3 linked regions of the Arabidopsis thaliana genome follow. The protein of the gene in region 2 interacts with the protein of the main gene of each other region in a pairwise test. Each region holds a gene or a part of one and is shown on either strand. Other genes may lie near its edges.

Region 1 (8,354 bases), 1.4 Mb from region 2:
ACCTGATCAATGCTTGTGGTTCTAGTGGAAACTGGAGAGAGGCTCTGGAAGTATGCAAGAAAATGACAGATAACGGAGTTGGACCGGATTTGGTCACTCATAACATTGTGTTGTCAGCATACAAGAGTGGTCGTCAGTATTCAAAGGCGCTATCTTATTTTGAGCTCATGAAGGGAGCTAAAGTTCGTCCCGATACTACAACTTTCAATATCATTATATATTGTCTGTCAAAGCTCGGTCAAAGTAGCCAAGCCCTTGATCTTTTCAATTCCATGAGGGAGAAGAGAGCTGAGTGCAGACCTGATGTTGTGACATTTACGAGCATCATGCATTTATACTCTGTCAAGGGAGAGATAGAAAACTGCAGAGCCGTGTTCGAAGCAATGGTTGCAGAAGGTCTAAAGCCTAATATTGTTTCCTATAATGCCTTAATGGGTGCCTATGCTGTTCATGGAATGAGTGGAACTGCTCTCTCAGTGTTAGGAGATATCAAGCAGAATGGTATTATCCCAGATGTGGTCTCTTATACATGCTTGCTCAATTCTTATGGAAGATCACGTCAACCTGGGAAGGCAAAGGAGGTATTCCTCATGATGAGGAAGGAAAGGAGAAAGCCAAATGTTGTTACTTACAATGCATTGATTGATGCTTATGGGTCTAATGGGTTTCTAGCTGAAGCTGTGGAAATCTTTCGGCAGATGGAACAAGATGGCATTAAGCCAAATGTTGTTTCAGTATGCACTCTTTTGGCTGCTTGTAGTAGGTCTAAAAAAAAGGTGAATGTTGATACTGTACTTTCCGCAGCACAGTCGAGAGGCATTAATCTCAATACGGCAGCCTATAACTCAGCCATTGGAAGCTATATAAATGCTGCAGAACTTGAGAAGGCCATTGCATTGTATCAGAGTATGAGAAAAAAGAAAGTCAAAGCTGATTCTGTTACTTTCACTATCCTTATAAGCGGTTCATGTAGGATGTCAAAATACCCTGAAGCAATTAGTTACTTGAAGGAGATGGAAGATCTCAGTATTCCATTGACAAAGGAGGTGTACTCTTCGGTTCTATGTGCTTACAGCAAACAGGCAAGTGCTTAGAGTTTGAGCTCAGAAGAAGACGTGTGTATTCAATAGAATTCTGATTTTCATATGGTTTGACTGTCACTTTCTTTGTGATAATTTCCAGGGTCAAGTTACAGAAGCAGAATCCATATTCAACCAGATGAAAATGGCTGGGTGCGAACCTGATGTGATTGCATACACTTCAATGCTCCATGCTTACAATGCTTCAGGTAAATACCATGAGTGTAAGACTGTTAAAAATGGTAACAAAATGTTTTCAGTGGATCTGAGTTGGCTTGGAATGGTTTTGTGTTGCCAGAAAAGTGGGGAAAGGCTTGTGAACTCTTCCTGGAAATGGAGGCAAATGGAATAGAGCCAGATTCGATTGCTTGTTCAGCTTTGATGAGAGCTTTCAACAAGGGAGGTCAACCGTCAAATGTCTTTGTCCTGATGGATTTAATGCGGGAAAAAGAAATCCCCTTCACTGGTGCGGTCTTCTTTGAGATATTTTCGGCTTGTAACACGTAAGTTCTTGTATGTCTATTTAAAACATTACAGTAAAATACTTGCTCGAATTACAGAAAGAGCAATATATCACCCTTCTTCTTTCAACATTGCAGCTTGCAGGAATGGAAAAGAGCAATAGACCTCATCCAAATGATGGATCCGTACCTGCCATCGCTTTCTATCGGGTTAACTAATCAGATGCTGCATCTTTTCGGGAAGAGTGGTAAAGTTGAAGCAATGATGAAGGTACAACGAACTTTTAGTTGATCAGCTAATTAGACTTCCACATTATCTTTCTTTTCTGCCAACCTGTTTACAAAAGAATGTTAACGAAACCATGTTGTACCACTAAACACACGCAGCTGTTCTATAAGATTATTGCCTCTGGTGTTGGAATCAACCTCAAGACTTATGCAATACTGTTGGAACATCTTTTAGCTGTTGGAAACTGGAGAAAATACATTGAGGTAATACTTTTTTGTTTGTCTCTTGCCAAATGAATTTCAATTAGCAATGACCAAGCAAGTTTTGCGGTTGAGAAATAAAATTTGACTTTTGTGTGAATGATTTGCAGGTTTTAGAATGGATGAGTGGTGCTGGTATTCAACCCTCGAACCAAATGTATCGTGACATAATCTCCTTTGGTGAAAGAAGTGCAGGGATCGAGTTCGAGCCTCTAATACGCCAAAAATTGGGTGAGATGAGAGAGGAATGCAAAATAAATGATTCTGTCACATGATTTTCGATCTTTTTGGTGTCTCACATTTCATTTTTTGTTGGTTATTCCATAGAATCACTGAGAAACAAAGGAGAAGGTCTGATTCCAACTTTTAGACACGAAGGCACATTGTTGTAATTTCCACTATATGCTTGTATTTTTGGCCCAGTGATTATGCATATGATGTTTGTAACTTGTAATCTCCTCTATCGATAATATGATAATTCAATTCAGAAAACGAAATCATTTTAGTATTGAAAATAAACGTAGATTGTTGGCTAGAGTTACATATTGAATTGCTATAGGATCCAGCTTGTATGTGCAGATAATAGATAAACTGATACAAGACATTCAATTCAACCAATCATTTCAAAAAGTTTGAATTATGATTTTTAAATGGAATGATTCGATGTGTAAGTCATTACAACGGTAGCAATATGAAGAATCAAATGGTAGGAAAGAAAATCCGAATTTAAAATATTCCGAAAATTATTAAGCTTAGTTTGATAAACAAAACAACAACATCGTGAGTGTACCATAGGAAGAATATTCCTTGGAACGAGGCGAGAGTTGGGAAACACTTCACATTAAAATGTCAGAATCCAGAAACAGATCACGTACACGTGGACATAATTAGTACACGTCAGCATATAAACCTATTCTACTAATGACGAAAGCACCCTCGTCTCCGTACATAGCCGTTGCAGTTATTATCTTTCGCTTCGTTGAAAAAGGAAAAACAAAATTGGGACGTAATGGTAAATTAAGTCCGTAATTTTATTTTGCCGTTGTTTAGATTACTAGAAAAGACTCAAAAATCAAAATCATTGTATTCGGTGAAAAAGGAAAGAGTCAAAGTTGAATTTTCTCAGCTCTCACTCTCTTTTTCTCTCTCTTTACTTCTACTGTATCAAGAAGCTCCGTTTTGCTTAGCCATAGTGCGTCTAGGGTTTGGTTGGTGGGAAGAAGGTTCCGATCATGGCGTCGGTGTCGTCGTCGGATCAAGGACCTAAGACAGAAGCAGGATGTAGCGGCGGAGGAGGAGGAGAGAGCTCGGAGACAGTGGCGGCGAGTGATCAGATGTTGTTGTATAGAGGTTTTAAGAAGGCGAAGAAGGAGAGAGGTTGTACAGCTAAGGAGCGTATTAGTAAAATGCCTCCGTGCACTGCTGGGAAAAGGAGTTCCATATACCGGGGAGTCACCAGGTACTGTGACTTTTCAAATCGGGATTGTCGGTTTATGATGCGGAGGAGATTGGAGTATAGGTTTGGTTGTGAATTGGGAGTTGTGTTATCTGTATTAGAGTATGGAATGTTTGGATTGGTGGATATGCACTTTGGTTAGGGATCTTGTGTGGAGCTAAATTATCTGGAATCTGTAAACTGTTCTAAAACACACTAATTTTCACCTAATGTCAGATTTTATAGTGTCTAGGCTCAAACTAGAAGAAATGAGTAGGTGTGCTTAGCATCTGTATGAGGTTTTTGTTCCATAGCAGTTGGAGATGTTGATGCGTTTTGTTTGTCGTATTTGTGTTGAGTACAGACATAGATGGACAGGTCGTTATGAAGCTCACCTTTGGGATAAGAGTACCTGGAACCAAAACCAGAACAAGAAGGGAAAACAAGGTTCCTCTTCTTCTTTTTTTTTTCTCTCTGCATCTGATAAAATTGCTGTTGTCATTTGCAATAAGTTTTCTCTTGTTTGGAGTATCAAAGCTGATCTTTTCTGTTTCCTATATATTTTCATGGGTGACGGAATTTCGCCACACCAGTTTATCTAGGTAAGCTAAAAGCTTTATATGTGTTGATTATATTCTTGTATATCAAATTGGATAATTTTTCACTGAAGAACCCAACTCTTACTTGACAGGAGCATATGATGATGAAGAGGCTGCTGCTAGAGCTTACGACCTTGCTGCCTTAAAATATTGGGGTCCTGGGACACTTATAAATTTTCCGGTGAGATTGCTACCGTAGTATGCTTTCTAAGTTACTCTTCAACCGTGTGGTTTCCTTAATAATTTTCATGGTCAATATATATGCATAAGTGGAGTAAGGATGGTTAGAAGTGTTTTGGAGCCACCCTTCTCAAGTTTCACTGTTTTTAGCTACATGCATTTACGTATTTCATTCTCGTAGGTGACTGATTATACCAGGGATTTAGAAGAAATGCAAAATCTCTCAAGGGAAGAATACCTTGCATCTTTACGTAGGTGCGTATGTATTTAAAAGCACTATAGTTTTCTTTTAAGAACCATTTATTGCTGATACTCTTTAGATATCCCTTTGGCAGAAAAAGCAGCGGTTTCTCTAGGGGAATAGCGAAATATCGTGGACTTCAAAGGTAAAACTGGACCAGCAATTGAGTTCTCATTTCTCTGTTTTGTCTGAAAAACTATGGAATCAAGAGTGATCATCTTTGTGTAATTGCCTATAAGGAAGATTCTTTAGTGACACATTGTGGATCATCACGGTTTTGATTAATTGACATATGGTGGATATGCTACTAGTTAATTTCATAGAAAAGTCTATATGCTACTCTTAAGAATAGGGATATGGCAAAACTATCTTCACTGTTTTGGCTGTAGCCCTCTTTAGTTTTGTCTTTTTAACCTTCTTTCTCACAATTAACATTCATACCTGATATGCATTTCTGCTGTCTTTCCATCTATTCTGCACTTCCCGACCAGCCGATGGGACGCATCAGCCAGTCGTATGCCTGGACCTGAATACTTCAGTAACATTCATTACGGTGAGTTGCTAACAATATTGACCTAATTGAAACAAATGTTTGCTTGCATCAGACTATTCAAAACTCATTGTCATTATTAACAGGGGCAGGTGATGATCGTGGAACAGAAGGTGACTTTCTAGGTAGCTTTTGTCTGGAAAGAAAGATTGATCTAACAGGATACATAAAGTGGTGGGGAGCCAACAAGAACCGTCAACCAGAATCTTCATCAAAAGCATCAGAGGATGCAAACGTCGAAGATGCTGGTACTGAGCTTAAAACACTGGAACACACATCCCATGCAACAGAACCATACAAGGCGCCAAACCTTGGCGTCCTTTGTGGAACTCAGAGAAAAGAAAAAGAAATATCATCACCATCAAGCTCTTCTGCTTTAAGCATCTTGTCTCAGTCGCCTGCCTTCAAGAGCCTAGAGGAGAAAGTGTTGAAGATCCAAGAAAGCTGCAATAATGAAAACGATGAGAATGCAAACCGTAACATCATCAATATGGAGAAGAATAACGGCAAGGCAATAGAGAAACCAGTTGTGAGTCATGGAGTTGCTTTAGGCGGTGCTGCTGCTTTGTCTCTTCAGAAAAGCATGTACCCACTTACCTCTCTCTTAACGGCTCCATTGCTCACCAACTACAATACATTGGATCCTCTTGCAGACCCTATTCTCTGGACACCATTTCTTCCTTCAGGATCCTCTCTTACTTCAGAGGTTCGTAGTCATATATCTATAGAACCAGAGACTTCAGAGGTTACTACAACACATCTTCCTTATGTCATTTTCTTTGGCTCTCTTTCTTCTGCAGGTGACAAAGACAGAGACCAGCTGTTCCACGTACAGCTACCTCCCACAAGAGAAATGAGCCGTTCCCTTTAGACTTTATGTATGTCAGATTCTCCTTTTTTGAGATGAATTCGTCGACTTGACATCTCTTTGTCTCTTTTATGGAGAAAAAGTTGGGAAAAGTGTGACAATGGTCTGAAGCAGGAATGTACAGGTTTTGTTAGTGGTTGTGTTTTTTTTTTTCCAGTGTGGAATATAGAATCATGATATTTTGTGTAAAACAGAAAAAAGTTATCATTATAGTATAGAAGTTTGCTCTTAATATTTCTGCACAAGGTATAATATAATTTGATTGTGACCGATCTAATTATTCATCTCTACCAAATGTTACGACTATGTATTATCACATCATCTGCACAAGACTTATCTAGCTTTGATACAACTAACTGAATCCTATTACCCAGACAGGGACTGAGTATATAATAGTTCCAATCGCAAAAGAAACCACAATGGTAAAAGATGCATACGCATAGGCTCTCCATGGGTAATCACTTTCTCTCATCGCATTGAACTCAGCCATGAAGGTCGAAACTGTGCTCAGACATCCCAACAGACCAAACTGTATGCTCGAAGCAACCGTGTTACATGTTCTCGTGTTCACCTGTTTCCCAAAATATATACAATGAATGTTATCTTTTGTGATTTGATCTGTTTGGTAGAGAGAGGAGGTGAGGAAGTTTATACCGATTTCTTCAAGGTAGCCAATGCTGCCATAACGCAAGCTGCAACTACATTTGCAATGAGGGTGCCAAATGGGACCCATCTCAAATTTTGACTATCCTTTCCCAGCCCACGTCCATTGAGTCGGGCTAAGAACCATCTGAGCCAGACACCAGGGGCTGCAACTAAGCAACCAAACCATAGCTGAGCCTCGCTTGTTCCTTTGTCAAACTCTTTCACAAGCAGTATGGAACTGGCAGTGAGTAAAGCCACAAGCAACAGAAGCATCAGGGTCAGAGACACAATATGGCTCTGGAAGGTGTTAACCTTAAGACAATGGAATTTATCCTCAGAAGAAGCTCTTCTATGAAGAAGCCATTTAAACCCTTTGGCCGTTTCCACTCCCAGAATTATGGAGTATGACGTGAGAAACAATCCTGTAAAGTCGTTTATGCTGTAAGCAAGTATGTTTCATCCAATTTAGTAGGTGATTGGAGATTGAGAAGGGAATTTTTTGTTTTTACCTAATAAAAAGCCAAGCACAGCATACACCCATTGACCATCAGCACTAAGATCCAGCATTTTCTGGTTCCAACCGCTGAATGTTGTCAGACTCCCCAAATAACCAGTCGATAATCCTATCGCCACAAATTCAGAAACTCTTGCTATATCTGCTTTGAATACAACGCCAAACCAACCCATCAAGAATGATCCTACCTATAAGGAAGCATTTGGAGAATTTTTATTAAGAAAGATAGGTTTGTAATTAAGTTTGAGATGAGTGCATTGCGACTTTCACCATGTTGGAGGGAAGATCAAGGTACAAGATGCTCCCATCACTTGTTACTCGAGCACCAGTTGGCCCAAACAATTTTTGCAGCAAATATCTCGTAATGGCCTGTATATTTGGAGTCAACGAGTTGATTATAATGATTTAAACAAAAACAAAGCACAACAGAGAGACAGACAGAAAATGGAAAATAAGCATTTTACCCCAAAAATCCCAAAAACAGCCAAATGAATTAGGCATGATATGTACTCCAAGGACTTTGGTAACACTCGCTCTTCCTCCTTTCCCTGTGCAACCCACGAGCTACAATAGATCAAAACATTGGACAAAGAAACCAATACTAACAATGATGTGACTATGCAAAGTTAGAGGTAGTCTCTACGGAGTTGTTTATTTCAGGTGACAAGAGTGACTTGGTCGGTAAAGGAGATGCTGTTATGTCCTCAGGCAAAGTTTTATTTACGGAAGCAGTGTTGAAAGCTCGAAGGTCATGTAATATATCTTGTTCTTGACGAGAAGTATCATGAGTCCCTTGTTCTATAAAATCATCAGCAGACAAACGGCTGCTTCTACCAGCACTATGCCTTCTCCGAAGTGAGCGGTCCCCAATATCCCCTGCCTCTGAGACACTCTCACTATCGACGTCATTGTCAATTAGGTGAGGCAAACTACGTGATAAGCTTAAAGAAGAGGCTACACTGCTCTCCCGACTAAAAGACTTGGCTTGATAAGGTTCTATGCTGCTTTGACCCGTATCCATAGGCGTTGTAGCCAAAGCATAAGATTCTTAAATGATGCTCCACCTGCACATATTTTAAGCCACAGCCACACACACAAGAAAGAAGACATGAAGGAATGTGCAAAAAGAGACAAGAGATAATCGAACAATGTGGCAAGTAAACATTCGAGAAATTCCTAATGCTTATTAAAGACACTGTTTGAAAAGTTTAGCTGTAATCTTCAAAACCATAGCTTTTTGATACTAAGACAACAAATTCAAAAAAGTTCACATATTCATGATAGATTATGACT
Region 2 (7,472 bases):
AGGGAATATTGAAGCTTTCTTCTCCAATAAACCTCTTTTAACTCCTGTTCTTTGATGGGTCTCATCGCCAAGGTTAAGCTGGGAAAGTTTGAGTCCTACATTTGGGTTGTTTTTTTCGCTCTTTCATGGCAGTTGTATGATTGATTTACATAGTTTCAGTGTTTCGAACGATTGCTTTTCTTATGTGCATAGGCAAATTTTAACGTGTTATTTTGATAGGTGACATTCTGACATTCTATTTTTCACCTTTGGTTTTATTTTTTCTTCAATGTTATTATGACGTAAGCAAGTTGTATTTTGACGTTCAGTTTTGGGCGTTTCAACTAGCGAACGTTGGAATTGTGTTTTTGGCTATCGATCGTTAGGAGTATGGGAAAAATGTCACATTTAAATCTAAATCATCAGTCAGTTTACTACTTTTTGTTGGATCTGGTTTAAATTTTTGCATGAACTCTGGATCATGTTTAAATTTTCGAATTCCCATTGACACTTCCAATTCCCAATTCTCATTGACACATCGTAAATCCTAAACATTTTTCAACATGACTCGAAAGTTATTCGATTTTTGATAATGTAGCCGAAGTCTGCATGAAAGTAATTCAATTGCACATTCTGACTTATAGCCGTAACCTAATAGATTTCGAAAGTTGGTGTTTTTAAAGGATATTAATGTTATTTTAGTGTTATTTTGAAGTCGCTTTAATAACTTTTTCAGTTGTTTTTTATTTTTAAAGTGTTTTTGATAATTTCGACTTATTAATTTTCTCTTTCGATTATTTTAGTGTTATTTTGAAGTCGCTTTAATAACTTTTTCAGTTGTTTTTTATTTTTAAAGTGTTTTTGATAATTTCGACTTAGATTAATTTTGTCTTTCGACACGGATTAATCTTGTCTTTGTTAGAGTTTCAACTATGCTTTATTTGTTTTTGCCATTTGTTACATGTTTCGACTATGTCGCTTTGACTTTGCGATTTGGCGTCTGTTTTTTTTTTGTGTTTTGTTAAGCTTCGCGTTTTTTCTTTGGCTACGGCCCGCGTTGCGCATTTTTGTCCCTCGTTTGTCTAATGTTCTACGCTCACACACTCTACTAATACGCCCATCTACACCTACATATTCATCTACGCCTATACATACATCTATGCCTATACATTCATCTATGCGCACACCTTACACATCACTAAACATTCATCTACGCCTATACATGCATCTATACATTCATCTACGCCTATACATTCATCTATACGCACCTTACACATCACTATACGCCCATTTATACACATCCATGTATCTTATCAGGAAAGAAAAAAGATACAAAATCACTAGATTGCCACATGCACAATCTAGTAAAATTCAACAAAGGCTAGCAAAGCTTGATTGCAACACGCTGGATAGAGTCCCAAAGGCTTTGTTTTCCCTTCTTCATCAACCCTTGCAAAATTAATTAACGAAAATCAATATTCCATTACAATCGTTTTTTTTTCGTTTATCATTTTTGGTATATGCATATATTATTTACAAAAAAATCAAAAGCATTTTATAGGCAACCTATTCTATCTTTGTTTTTTCATAAAATAAAAACCTTTTTCTATGTTTTCATTTAGACAGAACCGATACATAACTAAAAATGTTTTATGATAGAAGCAAATATGGCTAAAAATATTTTCCTAGTCGTTGAAGTTAAGCCAGCAATACATATACACAAAAAATGGATTTAAAACACAGCAAATGAAATTCATTTTAGACAGAACATATATATATCTAACTAAAATGCTCAGTTTATGAAAGAAACAAATATAGCTAAAAATCAGTTTATTGTCCTAATCATTGAAGTTAAGCCAGCAATACATATACATACACAATGGATTTACAACACAGACATTGAATTTCATGTTCAACTCCCTAAAAGATGACTAAAAGATGAAGAACAGGTGAACAAACTACTAAGAACCATTTAATGAAAAAAAAAAAAACCATTTAACGGTAAACACTAGAGGATTTAGACCAGAGTATTTTACCTTGTAAGGATGATGCTTTATGTTTGTTTGAATGAGGTCTTGACTCAAGTGGAAGAACCAGAATTAAGAAATAAAAACAGATTGTTTCTCGACATTTTGTAAAATATGAACCAATGAAGAGGATTCCGATTTCTGACCCAAGATGGGAGTATTTATAGAGAGCCATTTATCTGAATTTTTGTAATAAAATATTATCTTCTAACGGTAATAAAATGTTACCGTTTCAACGTTTAAATTTTATTATACTTTCAACTTTCAAGTCTAATCAAACTTAACGTTGGAACAATATAGGGAATCGTAAACGCAACGTTCATATTTTGCTATTAAACTTTTGTATAATTCCATAACTATATCTTTATTTTTGAGAATATTTGAAATGCATTGCCCACTCTTCTATGTTTATCACTATAGTTTTGATGATTAATGTTGTCTAAATTCATCCTCTTCTCTCATTTTTTTCACGATTTCTTTTTCTCAGCTACTTCTCCGACGTTAAGTGCGAGTATTAATTCTACTAATAAAAGTAAATTGGGTTGAAATCTTAATTTAATACATATTCATGTGCTATAGTCTATAGATAGTCTAAATTTATACCTTTTTGTATATAAAATGGCTTGAGTTCTTCCATCTTTTTTTTGGTTCTTTAGAAAAGAAAACACGTTAAACAAAAAAAGCAGGATAACATACTAAACCATTAGACATTAGTACATAGACTAGATCCAAAAAATACAAACATGTCTAAACGAAGTTTAAGATGATACAACCATATGAATGTGTACTTCTTCCATTGTGCACGCACCCAAATCCCACTTAACAAGAAACAGAAACCTCCTAGTAAATTGCCACATCCAGATAATCTCCAATCTGCAGATAGATTGATCAACTTCAGTTATAGCTACTTGGGTAACAGAATATGAAAAATTAATGTTATAGACTATATAATCATCATACAAGATGATCTTCTATGCATGTAAAAAACTTACCTCAAACGGAAGTTCGGAAAGCGTTTTACTGTCATCTGGTTGTTTTCGGTTTGGATAAGCCATCGTCTCCCCAACCTTTATCAATTAACAGAAACAACACCACAAGATCAGACTCTTCTCATGGGTTCTTGAATACATATGCAAACATCACAAGAGAACAAGTAAAGCCATAACGATTGAATCTGAAAGCATCCATTCAATCAAATTACTTCATTCTGTAGTAACTAGCTATGATTATGTGGTCTCTCTGAAGTTTCAAAAATCAATAACCATGAGAAGATGAGTTGTCAATAAGCGAAAGACATGTACAAGAGAAACATTGTTGACAAAACTCCGAATGATACTGGTAGCTACATGTGCGACAAAGAGGTGTGGCAGGGGAAAACACAGAAACTCTAGAATGCATCAATGATCATGCGTGGCTACGGTGACAACTTATCTGATCAAGATTGTGAAGAGAACGTAATCTTACCTCTCTCACATTATAGCCACCTTTATTGTTAGGATAAACAAACGCAAAAGACAATCTAGCATTCCTTCTCCTAGCTGCTACAGAAACTTCTTTAACCTGCAATGAAAACGTGATTTAACATTGTGCTTATGAGAGAAGCATCACCTTTGTACGTTACACAAAACCCCCAAAAATGTGAATTTTAATCAGCACTCCTCAGCAGTAAAAACAAAGTGAGTCCTTTAGCTGAAAATCCGTCATATTTGTAAAAACAAAACTACACAAGAAAAGTTCTCAAAGCAAGCTGCTTTATTGTTGTCTCAAGCACCCAATCTAAATCTTAATGGTAGAAGACATACCAAATCTGTTAGCTCGCGAAGACTGGCATCTTTCCAAGTGTAGATTTGAACTTCATCCTTTGGTTCTTTGCCTCTCACAGCATAATCTTCACTAGTATGATGACCACCACTCTGCAATCAAACCTACCCAATTAATCCTAATTTGCAGACTAATTCAGAAACAAACATAGCCAGTTCTCCAGTGATTAAACTTGCATTCAGTAAAATCAGTGAAGAAGAGTACCTTGGTGAAAACACGAAGAAGAAGGGGACATGTCTGCGATTCGAAGGTTAAAGATAAAGAAATCAATAAGTACAGATAAAAACCCTAAAAGGAAACCCTAAAGGATGATGATTCAACGATTCGCGAATAATGAAATCGAACACAAACCTTTTCACGATCGACAGGTTCAGGTTTAGGGCGAGGAGGTTGTTGGTTAACGCCTCTCGGAGGTGGCGGTAATGGTCTCCCACCACCTTGTCTTCTCGCTGCTTCAGCCATCTCTCTTTTTCTCTCGAGAGAAATCACTACGACGAAGAAGAAGGTAATGGCACAGAGATTGATCGGACCGCTTTAGGCCCATACTTATTTAACCTAATGGGCCTTTTGTACAACAATTTGGGCCTAACTCGTTTATAGATTTTGTTGCCAATGGTCCGTTTAAAAGATTTGAAATATATATATTTTTTTTCTACTTTTTCTTTTCTTGGTTTATAACCTTTGAATATCTATATTTGAAACACACATTGAAGATCACTAACTCGAAATTCAAAAATAAAAAGAGAGACAAATATAGCAATCCATAATCAATGCATAGAGACTTCAAGTGACCTACTAGGATCCCACTAAAAAATAATATGCTGTTTTTTGCCTATTCCTTTTGCATCATTCTTGTTATAGTAAAATGGTAAAAGAAATTATGGAAAATAAGAAAATGGGGTCATTGAATGTCAAGAGGGTAACATTTTCAGACGATAAGGCGCAATGACCCCACACCTCACATGAAGCTGCAGTGCCATTTCCAAAAGAGTGTGTGGATATGAATTTGAACAAAGAAACATTGGTGATGAAATTAAAAAAGAAAAGGAAAGATTACTACAAAGTGAAAAGTATGAAATTATGAAGACTACCCGATCTTCTTTGCCTCCCTTTCCGTATTTGGCATGCCCCTAACCACTACCACAACCTCTTCCCTTCGGAACTTTGTAAATAAACATTCACTGTTTTTTTTTTTGCTTTTTAAATAGCTGTTAATTGTACAAATTCATTTACATGGCTTACTGTTTTTCAAAAGGAGATACTAAATAGTATATAGTACTATAATTTTGTCCACCATGTTCTATGAAACTCGTCCAAACATAAAAAGGTTTTTATATCATCAAACGTACGACTTTCCTTTGTTATTTTCTTGGATTGGACACAACGAGATTGGTTTGGTCACTGTCCGATCTAGTTATTGATATATATATATATATATATATATATATATATATATATATATATTTTTTTAATATAATGTAGATGTAGCCCACTAACTTTTGATAAGCTTTCATTTTTCTATACTTTCATTTTTCTATAATGTAAAAAGATAGATGAAAATGAAACTACTAGATTACAACTTTTTAACAAAAAATAAAAAACTACTAGATTACAGCTCTTGATTGGTTGATAACTTGATATCATATATCGTGTTTGTAGTTGAAGATGTAAAGATTTATCATCTTGTATTTGAATTTTGCACAATATATAATGTGATGATTCTATGTTTGTTTGTAAACTTATGTGCAAATGGGCGATAACTAAACGTTCGTAAAATAGTTACATGTACTAATTAATCGAAGCACATAAATATTATATATATATATATGTATATATATGAAACGATTCATTGATTTTAAGTATTTAATTTATTTTTTAAGATTTTAGTTGTCTTAACCTCGTACGAAGAAGAAGGATATATACTATTTAACTCGTGGAGATGATGAGGTTCGGATATTTTTCCTTAAGACCACAAGACACTGACACGCCGACTGATCGATAAAAAAAGTTAAGGCCTACAATACAAAAGAGTAGCAGATTCCCTTACACGTGTTTCATTTATGATCTGTTAATTAACTCCATTGAGCTTCAATATCTCATTAGCCGAAAATTAACTTGACGTTTTCCATTGAACTGTCGAAAAAATTTGTAGAAAAAGTGAAATGTCCCCTATTTAACTTCCAAGTTTAAAACCTAAAATTAATTAGTTACCGTTTTGATGAATAACGTTGAAAGAATCGTCAACATATCAAATGATGCAGATACAACAAGGGACAAAAACATCAAAAAATTGATTAAAAATAATCATTCAGATATTAGCAATTAAACTGTAAGTAAATGATTGCATATATATATATGAATGAATACATATATATGTATCAAACTGTAAGTAAATAATACATACATATATATATATATATATAGGAAAATATCTCATTTTTCAATCATTTTCAGAGGTAAACATTTTTAAAGACAATTTTACCTAACCCAACATCTTACTATATTTAACCAGCTCTGCGAGAGCTTCAAAACAATGATGAATTTTCTGCCCCTTTTCATTGACCAAATAAAAGTTCACAAATTTGTAAAACCAATCAGCATTAATTTCGCACGTAGTTTACTTCGTCCGATTTTAGATCAAGTAGACATTTTAACCAAACATATTGAATCACGGTTCAATCAAGATACATGGTTGCGAGTATAATATATCAATCCTTCACCGCATTAGAAAACCAAATTTTCTATTTAATTTAGCGTGTTCTTTTAATGAACGCAGCGTCAGCGACAACAAAGAAGAAAAACAGATCTGCGGCGAGAAAAAATACATTGATTAGAGAAGAACTGCCGCAAAAGATGTACGATGATGAAGATTGACGTGACGCTGCTTAATTTCAGCGATTCATTTGATGCAATTGCAATTCATCGGCTATCATCGGCGACTCATCCGAAATTGTTATTTTCAAGCTTTAATGTCGTTTTACTTACCTACTACTTCTCATGACACGTCGTTTCAGTCCGCTATTGCCGCTGGCGCAGCATCAAATAAAAGAACACGCTAGGATAGCTTGAAAAGGGTACAATAACTAGTTATAGAAGAACATGAGCCATAACATTTGGAAACAAAATGAGTTAGTTTGAATTTGAAACATCGCGCTCTATGTAAAAAAAGCAAAAAAGAAAAGAAAAGAGTCCTAATAATTAAAAAGAGAAAATAAAAGGAATTTTCAATGGTCCGACTGTTACAAGTAGATTTCCATTTTTAGGAATCTAGCTATAACGATGAAGACAGAGTTATCATTTTGTTCCATCAAATATATGACGATATTTATATTTAATTTCTTCAACAACAAATATCTCATTTGTTGGTGCCACTTTCACATACTTAGGACGACTAATAATTAATTAAAAAGGATTTATGTAATAACGCACCATATTAACCTGTAACAAGAAGAATTGAAAGTAATACAAGTTTATATATATAGCAACACATTTATCGTGTACGATACTTTATTCCTTTTATCTATTCTTGAAAAAAAGTTACCAATTCTTGAGAAGAAGAAGAAATCAGAATCAAGAGAAGGAGAGAGAAAGATGGGAAGAGGGAGAGTGGAGATGAAGAGGATAGAGAACAAGATTAATAGACAA
Region 3 (8,585 bases), on a different chromosome or scaffold from region 2:
AGTGTGCTTTTGTTCATGAACATGTTCTGATTTGGTCGGTGATAAATCTTCTGTATCAAGAAGATGTTTACATTAACTTTTCAAATGACAACATATGCGAGAAACAAAACACACGTATCACTCTTTTAACGTACGTAACTGCTCCAACAGATCTATCTTATTCTTTATATACGTTTGCTTCTTCCTCAAAACCTCATCCGAGTAGGTGCTGGTGCAGGTGACGAGATCATCTTTATTTAGAATAATTGGTGAGGACCTAAAACGAAATAAGCGTTATCGATTGATTTTAGTTTTGTCTCTGAATCCATTTTCTCTGCTTTGATGGAGGAAGAAAAAACTAAGCAGGTACTTATCTATATTCACAATTGGGTAGTTACGTAATAAACAAGACACCAGTGATGGAACGAATTTAGTAGAGTAAGCGAGCCCGTGATAGAACGAGTCTAAATGTGATTCATCGACTCATTCGGAGTTATGGTTTGTGGGACAGTAAATATATATGCTGAGAAATCCACTAATCTTTAAGAACTTAACTATAAACTCTGTATCGGATCATTCTTTTTATTAAGGTTTGTGCTAAAGATAATCGATTCTCTTGGACGATTAGTAGAAGGGAAAAAATACGCAATGGCGCGAGAGTGTGCGATCGTATGAGAGTTGTAATCCCACACGTGCGGTCTCCCACGTTTCAAAAAATAACGGGAAAAATTATATAAATCACGTAGCATGTTAATAATTAGGACATTATATTAAATTAACGTTTTCAAAAAAGGAAATATAGTGTTATTGAAAAACACATGTATGACATTTATTTGGGAGCATTTTGCAAAGTAAATGTTGCTACCTGACACGTCATATTTGCCAATTTATACATCTCTTGTAGATTTTCTTAATTACATAAAAAGATAAACTTTCATATTTGCTAACAAAATATGAGGGGAAAAAATCAGCTTATTGAACGGAAGATCTATTTAATATTATGAAAGTTGATTTTTATGTAATTAAGAAAAATAATCACATAAATTAATAAAAGTAAAAACAATATATGATGTGTCACTTTATGGTAAGTAGTATCCAAAATAATAAGCTAAAGTTGATTTTTTTTCTTGTTCTGAAAAGAAGAGAGAAAACGCTATAAATAGAGGATCCTCACCATCAACTTCCTCCACTCATCATCATTCACAGCTTCAAATTTTCAATACTCAAATTAACAATGGCGATTTTCTCCACATCACATCTTCTCTTCATCTCCTTCATCATAGCCACATGTATACATAAACCATTTCCAACATTTTCTGATTACTACTTTGATTCAATAATTTATCTTCATAAAATATCTTCGTTTATAATTAATTAATTTTGAATTGTATTGCAAGGTACAATTTCTGTCTCCGGTACAACCTTCACCTTAACAAACCATTGCGGCTCCACAATCTGGCCTGGAATCCTCACCGCAAACGGCGCACAACTCGGCGACGGCGGATTTGCCTTAGCTTCAGGATCTTCCGTAACCTTCACCGTTTCTCCAGGTTGGTCCGGTCGATTTTGGGCTCGAACGTATTGTAACTTCGACGCCTCAGGCTCAGGTAAATGCGGTACCGGGGACTGCGGCAGCAAGTTAAAATGCGCCGGCGCAGGAGGAGCTCCACCAGCCACACTCGCCGAATTCACAATCGGCTCCTCCGGAAAGAAAAACGCCGTGCAAGATTTTTACGACGTGAGCCTCGTAGATGGTTATAACGTTCAGATGAAAATCACACCGCAAGGTGGCTCAGGGGATTGTAAAACCGCGGGATGCGTTTCGGACGTGAACGCGATTTGTCCAAAAGAGCTACAAGTTACGGGCCCATCGGGTGTTGCAGCGTGTAAGAGTGCTTGTGAGGCTTTTAACAAGCCGGAGTATTGTTGCACCGGCGCGTATAGTACACCGGCGACTTGTCCGCCCACGAATTACTCGAAGATATTTAAACAAGCTTGTCCGAGTGCGTATAGCTATGCATACGATGATGCTTCCAGTACTTTTACTTGTACTAATGCTAATTATGAGATCAGTTTCTGTTCTTAGGCAAAAATCGCCTTTATTATTCATTAATTATTATTATTTATCAATGAATAAAAAGATTGATCATTTTTAACATATTTTTATGTTTTATTTGTCTCTTTAATCTCCTTCACAAATACAAAAAGGTGACGTTTCTAAAACAAAAGATGAGATACGGCATGCATAGCCATTATTATCAACAAGGAGGAGATAATCAAAGATTATGTTTCAAAAAGAAGATGAAACTTTATATATTTGATTGTTTAAGAAAAAAGATTATTACATAAAAATATCAAAGTTTATTTGAGTAAAATGGTTTTTTTGGTAGGAGTTTCTTTTTTTTTTTTGGGTAGGACAATTTGTATTTGACTTGAGGTTAAAGGAAATGAAAGAAAAAAGTGAGAGAAGTGATACCAAACATATTTACATTCTAACAACATACCGGTCACTCCAGATCGTATCAGACAAGATAGTTTCCAATAGGGAGCTTTAGAGAGTTATTTGGTTTTTTTGATGGTACTTACATTGGCTAAACAACAGAAGCAAAGAAGAAACAACATCTACCCTTTAGCCAAACATCACTAGAAGAACTAAACTTAGCAAGCCACAAATGGTTAAACAAGTTGATGTACCGTACATACAGGATTTGTTAAGAGTCAGGGCTTTTCTTTAGCTGATGCAGTTAAGATCAGTGTTTCTGGATTCTTTGGATTGAAACTTGCAAGCCTTCTTCATTCTCTTTGCAGCTTGGACAAACCCCACAATAACCTGAAGCTCATCCATTTGCTGTATTCATTTCACAGTTATTTACACCATTTTATTGATTATCAGGACAAAATTAAGACAAATCCATAACACAGTGAAGGCTCAGAGATGTTGACGTACCTGAGACATGAAGTGCCTTTGAACAATGTCAATTAGTTGCTCCTTTGATGGATTTGGAATTGCATCCACCTACAAAGAGTTTCTTCAGAAGCAAGCACATAGAAAACAAGATTGAGAAAACGAAAGTAAGTTTCTTCTCTTCCTTTTCTTCTGGAATTCAACTTACAAGGTTAAAATGTCGCCAATAATTCAGTAAAGCAGGCATTTCCAATTTGCTAAGATCAACCTTCTGCTTGAAAGCATATGATATAGCATCAGTAAACTTACGATTTGTTGCATTATCTTCAAATGGAATAGATGTCAAAAAATTTGAATGCATACCATGTTTTCAGGAGGAGTAAAACCCGAACTTTTTGATTGCGAGTCAGATGATAGAGACCTGCTCATCGTCTTGTGAGATGACCGAGATGATCTCTGCCCTCTTAGCTTCGACTTATGAGGCTTCAGTGTGTCCTCAGATGCTGGAAAAGAAACAACTTATCATAGAAACAAGTCTGAAAAAAATCAGTTAAAAGGGTTCCCATCAAAGAACAATATATCACTTAGTAGCTCACAGGAGACTAAATCAAGTTTAGAGATCTCTATATCAAGTTTTTGACAAATTGGCAGAATCGTTACAAAAATAACAAGGAACAAAACTTACTCATATCAGAGCCATTCCTCTGTGTGTTTTCGAAATCAAGATCATCGTCTTCTTCGTTTCCAGTAGGAGGTTCAAGGACACTAAGCGCATTCCTCTGCAACTTTACTTCTATTCCATTTGTCAAAACCTACAAACCAAAAAGCACAACAATAATTCTGATTAAATACTTTTAACTCCATAAACAAGTACTGACATTGATTTTAATACTTCAACTCCTACTGTTACTTCCATAGGAATTCTGGGAGACAAGAACTGGTGGAATGTGATATCACTAATAGTAAAACATAATCGTGATACTGAAGAAATTCGTAAATTATATGGATTATTCTCTAAAGTTTAAAGCTAGAATATGGTGAAGTTACTCCTTTAGGTCCACATACACAGAGACACTATCAAAAAGATCTTGCAGAGCAGTTTATAATATAAACTAGCCAACCAAAGCATAAAGATTTTATAAAGAATAGTAATCGACAGAAGTGACACTGCTTGGGGACGAAAATGACTCAACTAATTAAGAAAGAACAAAAAAGAAGAAAAACCTCTAAAACAAATGATTAACATTAATCAAAAGACTAACAAATTTCAAAAAGCCAGCTTGGATCCTTAAGGTGGAGAACAAAAATGTCAAGAAATATGATGGAGAATTAGATAACAAGTGCATATTTGTTATGATGTTTTATTGACCAGGCGCCAAAATAAAGTTGCCTCTTTTTTGGTTTGCCTAATTAATGTTTGCAAACTCAAAAATCACTTATCCCCTATAGATGATTCCTTAAATTGAGCCTGAAACTCAGCATGAAACACCAAAATAATCAAAGATACCAAAATGTTTCAGAATCTTTATTTGATGCAAACTAATTTTTAAAGAAAAATAAAAATCACTCAAGGGTTTCATGAATAAAATAACTACCTAAGAACCATAAATACAAGGTTAAACAGTGTAAAATCCAGCAATAATGGTGACTTGAATGCTATCATGCATGCAACAAGTTCAATCGCCAGATTTCGAAAATTTTACAGATTTAACATTTGGTAAATACAAAAGTAGATTTGATTTTCGATCAAACTAACAATTCTTGGTTTAAAATTAGATGCGAGGAAACATAATTATTGACTTGATTAGTGAATCTATAACTAGTAAATCGAAGCTCATGAATGATTATATCTAATTTAAAGTTGATCATGTTGAGAAATTCAAGGGAAAAAAACCCAAATTTGAAATACAAAATCATCCCAAAACCCAAATTATGTTCATCAATTGCAAACTTGGTAAATCCAGAAAACAGAGAACAAAACACTAGATTAGATCGAAATTTAACTATAAATGGAAAACGGAACAGGAAACAACAAAGATAACATTTTTACCAAAAAAGGAAAGAAATCAAATAACTTTACCAGCCAATGCCAACCACCGAGACCGACAGCTTTTTTGACAACACCTTGAAGACCAACAAGCACCGATTTCGTCCGGTTGTTTCCGGTGACCACCACTTTTGTATGACGTGGCAATACCGATAACTCTTCTTCACTACTGCAATCGCCGTAAAAGCTCTGAATCTGCGGGAATCCTCCATTCACCACTCCTGAGCTATCTACAGCTTCCAGCATTCTTCTTCTTCTTCTCTAATCTAATCTGATTTTAGACCTGAAGAAATCAACAGACCCAGTTCGATTTTTTTCAGCTTTGAACACTGATAGAAAATCGAAGATCATGCATTGCTGAGAGAGGGAAAGATCAGATGATTGAGCGGGAAAAGTGGAGAGATATCGAAGTAAAATAATTAGGGTTTGTCCCACAAGAAGAAGCAGAGAGAGAAGAAGAGAGATGAGAGAAGAAGAAGCAGAGTAAAGAGAAGGTAGAGGAGGAGGGAAAGAGAGGATGATAGAGACAGGTTTTTCACCACGGGGACCAATTAGAAGAAGCCATGTCAGCATTGTACTGAAACTATATGCGTTATGCAAAAACAGAACCGGTTTTTTTGTTTGGATTTAACCGGAGGGGTACTTTTGGTAATTACAGAACACGCGATTGACCTGAATGGTTGACTGGTGTTTAATAAAGACAGAGATAGATGGGACCCGTTTTTATTTAAATGACGGTTATACCCTTAGTCACGTAACTTTTTTCCATAGTTTGAATTTTTTTGGATCTTCTTTGTCCTTATCTTATAATTTTCTTTCTTTCATAATTATTGCTCTCTCCATTACTAGATTTTTATTATTATTGAGAACAATGTTTTACTTTATGAAAACCAGGTTCTCAAAACAGCAAAATAAACGAAACAAGTACTGCTTAGTAAGTGAAATAAATGGATCAAATACAGTAAGATAAACATTGAACATAAACTTTAAACTCATATAATGGCTAAAAAGCAATCAAATTGGTCGATGGGATAATTGGGTATATTAGATACAGAAAATCTAAGGGATTTAATGTTGTGTCTCTTTAATGATAACACTATTAAACACACATCGATATTATCATCAAAAGAGCTCAAGAGACGCAAATACAAAAACCTTTTTTCGACCGATTATAAGAAGGTTTTATAAAGGTTTTATAAAGGTAGATGATCGATATGATCTATGAATATTTTATCTTTCTTTTTTTGTGTTACATACAATCATACATGATTTTCTTACTATATGAAAGTTACATGTTTGGATCAATTATTTGTCCAAAACTTTTATCGAGTCATTGTCATTGTCACAGTTAACAAAGCCCACCCAAAAATAAAACCGTCCCCATATTTGGGGAAACTGTCAAAGCGACCCCTCACCAAACGCCTGCTTCAATTATTCGTAACTTTTAATGCTTACCCTTACTACCATTCCCCTCCCATAAAAATCAAAATTTTCATTCTTTTGTTCTTTATTGTTTTTAAACATAAACCTACGAAATCTAGAGGCTGGAACAAAATCCATTAATTACCGGGAAATTTTCAGAGGATTTGCACTAAATTAGGGGTTACTTGTTACATTTCAAAATTAGGTGACTAATTGTGGTCAATTATGAAAATTCGAGGGGTTAATGAGAATAATCCTACACGTCTGTCTCTATCGTCGTCTTTGAGGGTTTTGTTTGAACAAAGAGACTAGAGAGTGTTGGAGCCGTTAAATGGCGAAAACTGATAAGCTAGCTCAATTCCTTGATTCTGGTATCTACGAATCCGACGAATTCAATTGGTTCTTCTTAGACACAGTTCGTATCACCAACCGTTCATATACCCGATTTAAGGTTTCACCTTCTGCTTACTACTCTCGTTTCTTCAATTCGAAGCAACTCAATCAACACTCTAGCGAGTCTAATCCGAAAAAGCGAAAACGGAAGCAGAAAAACTCTAGCTTTCACCTTCCTAGTGTAGGAGAGCAAGCTTCGAATCTTCGTCATCAGGAAGCGAGGCTGTTCTTATCGAAAGCCCATGAATCTTTTCTAAAGGAAATTGAGTTGTTGAGTTTAACGAAAGGTCTAAGTGATGATAATGATGATGATGATTCTAGTTTGTTGAACAAGTGTTGTGACGATGAAGTCTCTTTTATTGAGCTTGGAGGAGTGTGGCAAGCTCCTTTCTATGAGATAACACTGAGTTTTAATCTACATTGCGACAATGAAGGTTTTTTGGTTTCTCTATGTCACTTGCTAGATCGTATTTGAAACCCATGAATTTGATGGTGTTTTGTGGACTTGATAGGTGAGAGTTGTAATGAACAGAGAGTGTTTCAAGTGTTCAATAACCTAGTAGTGAATGAGATTGGAGAAGAAGTTGAAGCTGAGTTTTCCAACCGGAGATATATAATGCCCAGAAACAGTTGCTTCTACATGGTTTGTGTTTTTTACTTGTCTGATTTTATGATTCTATAAAAAAATGGAAACTTTTAGTTGCTGTGTGAAATGGTTCTTCTGATATTACAGTTCTTTTTACCATGTTGCCTTGAAGTCTGATTTACATCACATCCGAAACCTCGTTCCTGGTAAGTCTTGTGCTATTGTCCATTATAGATAATTTGCTAAAAGCTGAGATTTTAGAGTATTCTGGTTCTTGTTGATTGGTCCTGAGTCATGTGAGAAAAGATCAGTCATTATCATATCGGTAGGCGATGTAATAGTCTTATTGATGTCATATATGCAGCTAAATCTGAAGAAGGCTACAATCTTATAGTTATTGATCCGCCTTGGGAAAATGCAAGTGCTCATCAGAAATCAAAGTTCGTTATCTACTTAATGTATGCATGTGGATAAGTATTTTTTGTATCTGAAAGTTCATGACCAATGTTTCTTGGTTCTTTGTTTTAGGTATCCTACTTTACCGAACCAATACTTCTTATCTCTTCCGATCAAGCAGCTTGCTCATGCTGAAGGAGCTCTCGTGGCTTTGTGGGTGACAAATAGAGAGAAATTACTAAGTTTTGTTGAGAAAGAGCTATTCCCTGCGTGGGGAATTAAGTATGTAGCTACAATGTATTGGTTAAAGGTGAGCTCATCTTGCAGCTCTCAGTCCCCATCTTGGTTTCTGAGTTGCACATATGACTTGACATTTTACATACTTGCTATGTAAATGTTTCAGGTGAAACCGGATGGTACACTGATTTGCGACCTGGACCTGGTCCATCATAAACCTTATGAGTACCTTCTACTAGGCTACCATTTTACCGAAGTAAGTCAATTCATTTTTTTGTCACTTGAATAATCTGAGAAAGGAACTTCTGTTTGAACAGCCATGTTGTGTATACATGTCATAGCTTGCAGGATCAGAAAAGAGGTCAGATTTTAAACTCTTGGACAAGAACCAGATAATCATGAGCATCCCTGGTGATTTTTCGAGGAAACCCCCAATTGGAGGTATTCTTATGTTTATATTTTCAACAGCTTTGTTCTGCGATTGGCTTCATCAAATTCAAGAGTAGATAATGCAATTTTTTCAAATTCTTGGTCTAAAGCTCCCCTGATTCTTGTTTGTTTCCACTTGGACTTTGTGTAGATATACTACTGAAACACACTCCCGGGTCTCAACCTGCTCG

Evidence for each region. The genes of interacting proteins can lie anywhere in the genome.
Region 1: the proteins of SAP18 (region 2) and AT2G41710 interact in binary tests that used the Arabidopsis thaliana proteins (3 or more experiments, as listed by UniProt).
Region 3: the proteins of SAP18 (region 2) and AT1G19330 interact in a two-hybrid assay, tested with the Arabidopsis thaliana proteins (one study listed by BioGRID).

The regions. Positions count from the first base shown.
Region 1 is NC_003071.7:17,397,811-17,406,164, reverse strand, and holds AT2G41710 (Integrase-type DNA-binding superfamily protein), read left to right. Parts: upstream 1-3,114; 5' UTR 3,115-3,261; coding exon 3,262-3,488; exon of another isoform or gene 3,489-3,548; coding exon of another isoform or gene 3,549-3,622; exon of another isoform or gene 3,623-3,710; coding exon of another isoform or gene 3,711-3,741; exon of another isoform or gene 3,742-3,801; intron 3,802-3,828; coding exon 3,829-3,911; intron 3,912-4,057; coding exon 4,058-4,066; intron 4,067-4,155; coding exon 4,156-4,244; intron 4,245-4,424; coding exon 4,425-4,498; intron 4,499-4,563; coding exon of another isoform or gene 4,564-4,578; coding exon 4,579-4,629; exon of another isoform or gene 4,630-4,975; coding exon 4,976-5,037; intron 5,038-5,120; coding exon 5,121-5,905; downstream 5,906-8,354. Other genes in the region: EMB2654 (Tetratricopeptide repeat (TPR)-like superfamily protein), read left to right, coding at 1-1,082, 1,183-1,288, 1,378-1,582, 1,679-1,811, 1,928-2,032, 2,140-2,260, 2,357-2,421; AT2G41705 (camphor resistance CrcB family protein), read right to left, coding at 6,255-6,473, 6,557-6,969, 7,057-7,249, 7,332-7,430, 7,526-7,609, 7,705-8,082.
Region 2 is NC_003071.7:18,797,035-18,804,506, forward strand, and holds SAP18 (SIN3 associated polypeptide P18), read right to left. Parts: upstream 4,350-7,472; 5' UTR 4,290-4,349; coding exon 4,179-4,289; intron 4,065-4,178; coding exon 4,032-4,064; intron 3,920-4,031; coding exon 3,809-3,919; intron 3,567-3,808; coding exon 3,471-3,566; intron 3,074-3,470; coding exon 2,999-3,073; intron 2,880-2,998; coding exon 2,847-2,879; 3' UTR 2,494-2,846; downstream 1-2,493. Other genes in the region: AT2G45630 (D-isomer specific 2-hydroxyacid dehydrogenase family protein), read left to right, coding at 1-55; AGL6 (AGAMOUS-like 6), read left to right, coding at 7,419-7,472. UniProt on the Arabidopsis thaliana protein: Links the histone deacetylase complex to transcriptional repressors bound to chromatin. Involved in the tethering of the SIN3 complex to core histone proteins.
Region 3 is NC_003070.9:6,678,114-6,686,698, forward strand, and holds AT1G19330 (histone deacetylase complex subunit), read right to left. Parts: upstream 5,421-8,585; 5' UTR 5,178-5,420; coding exon 4,965-5,177; intron 3,697-4,964; coding exon 3,570-3,696; intron 3,403-3,569; coding exon 3,248-3,402; intron 3,159-3,247; coding exon 3,093-3,158; intron 2,996-3,092; coding exon 2,927-2,995; intron 2,828-2,926; coding exon 2,711-2,827; 3' UTR 2,450-2,710; downstream 1-2,449. Other genes in the region: AT1G19320 (Pathogenesis-related thaumatin superfamily protein), read left to right, coding at 1,214-1,268, 1,377-2,065; AT1G19340 (Methyltransferase MT-A70 family protein), read left to right, coding at 6,685-7,180, 7,259-7,389, 7,505-7,538, 7,697-7,772, 7,861-8,038, 8,132-8,221, 8,307-8,406, 8,546-8,585.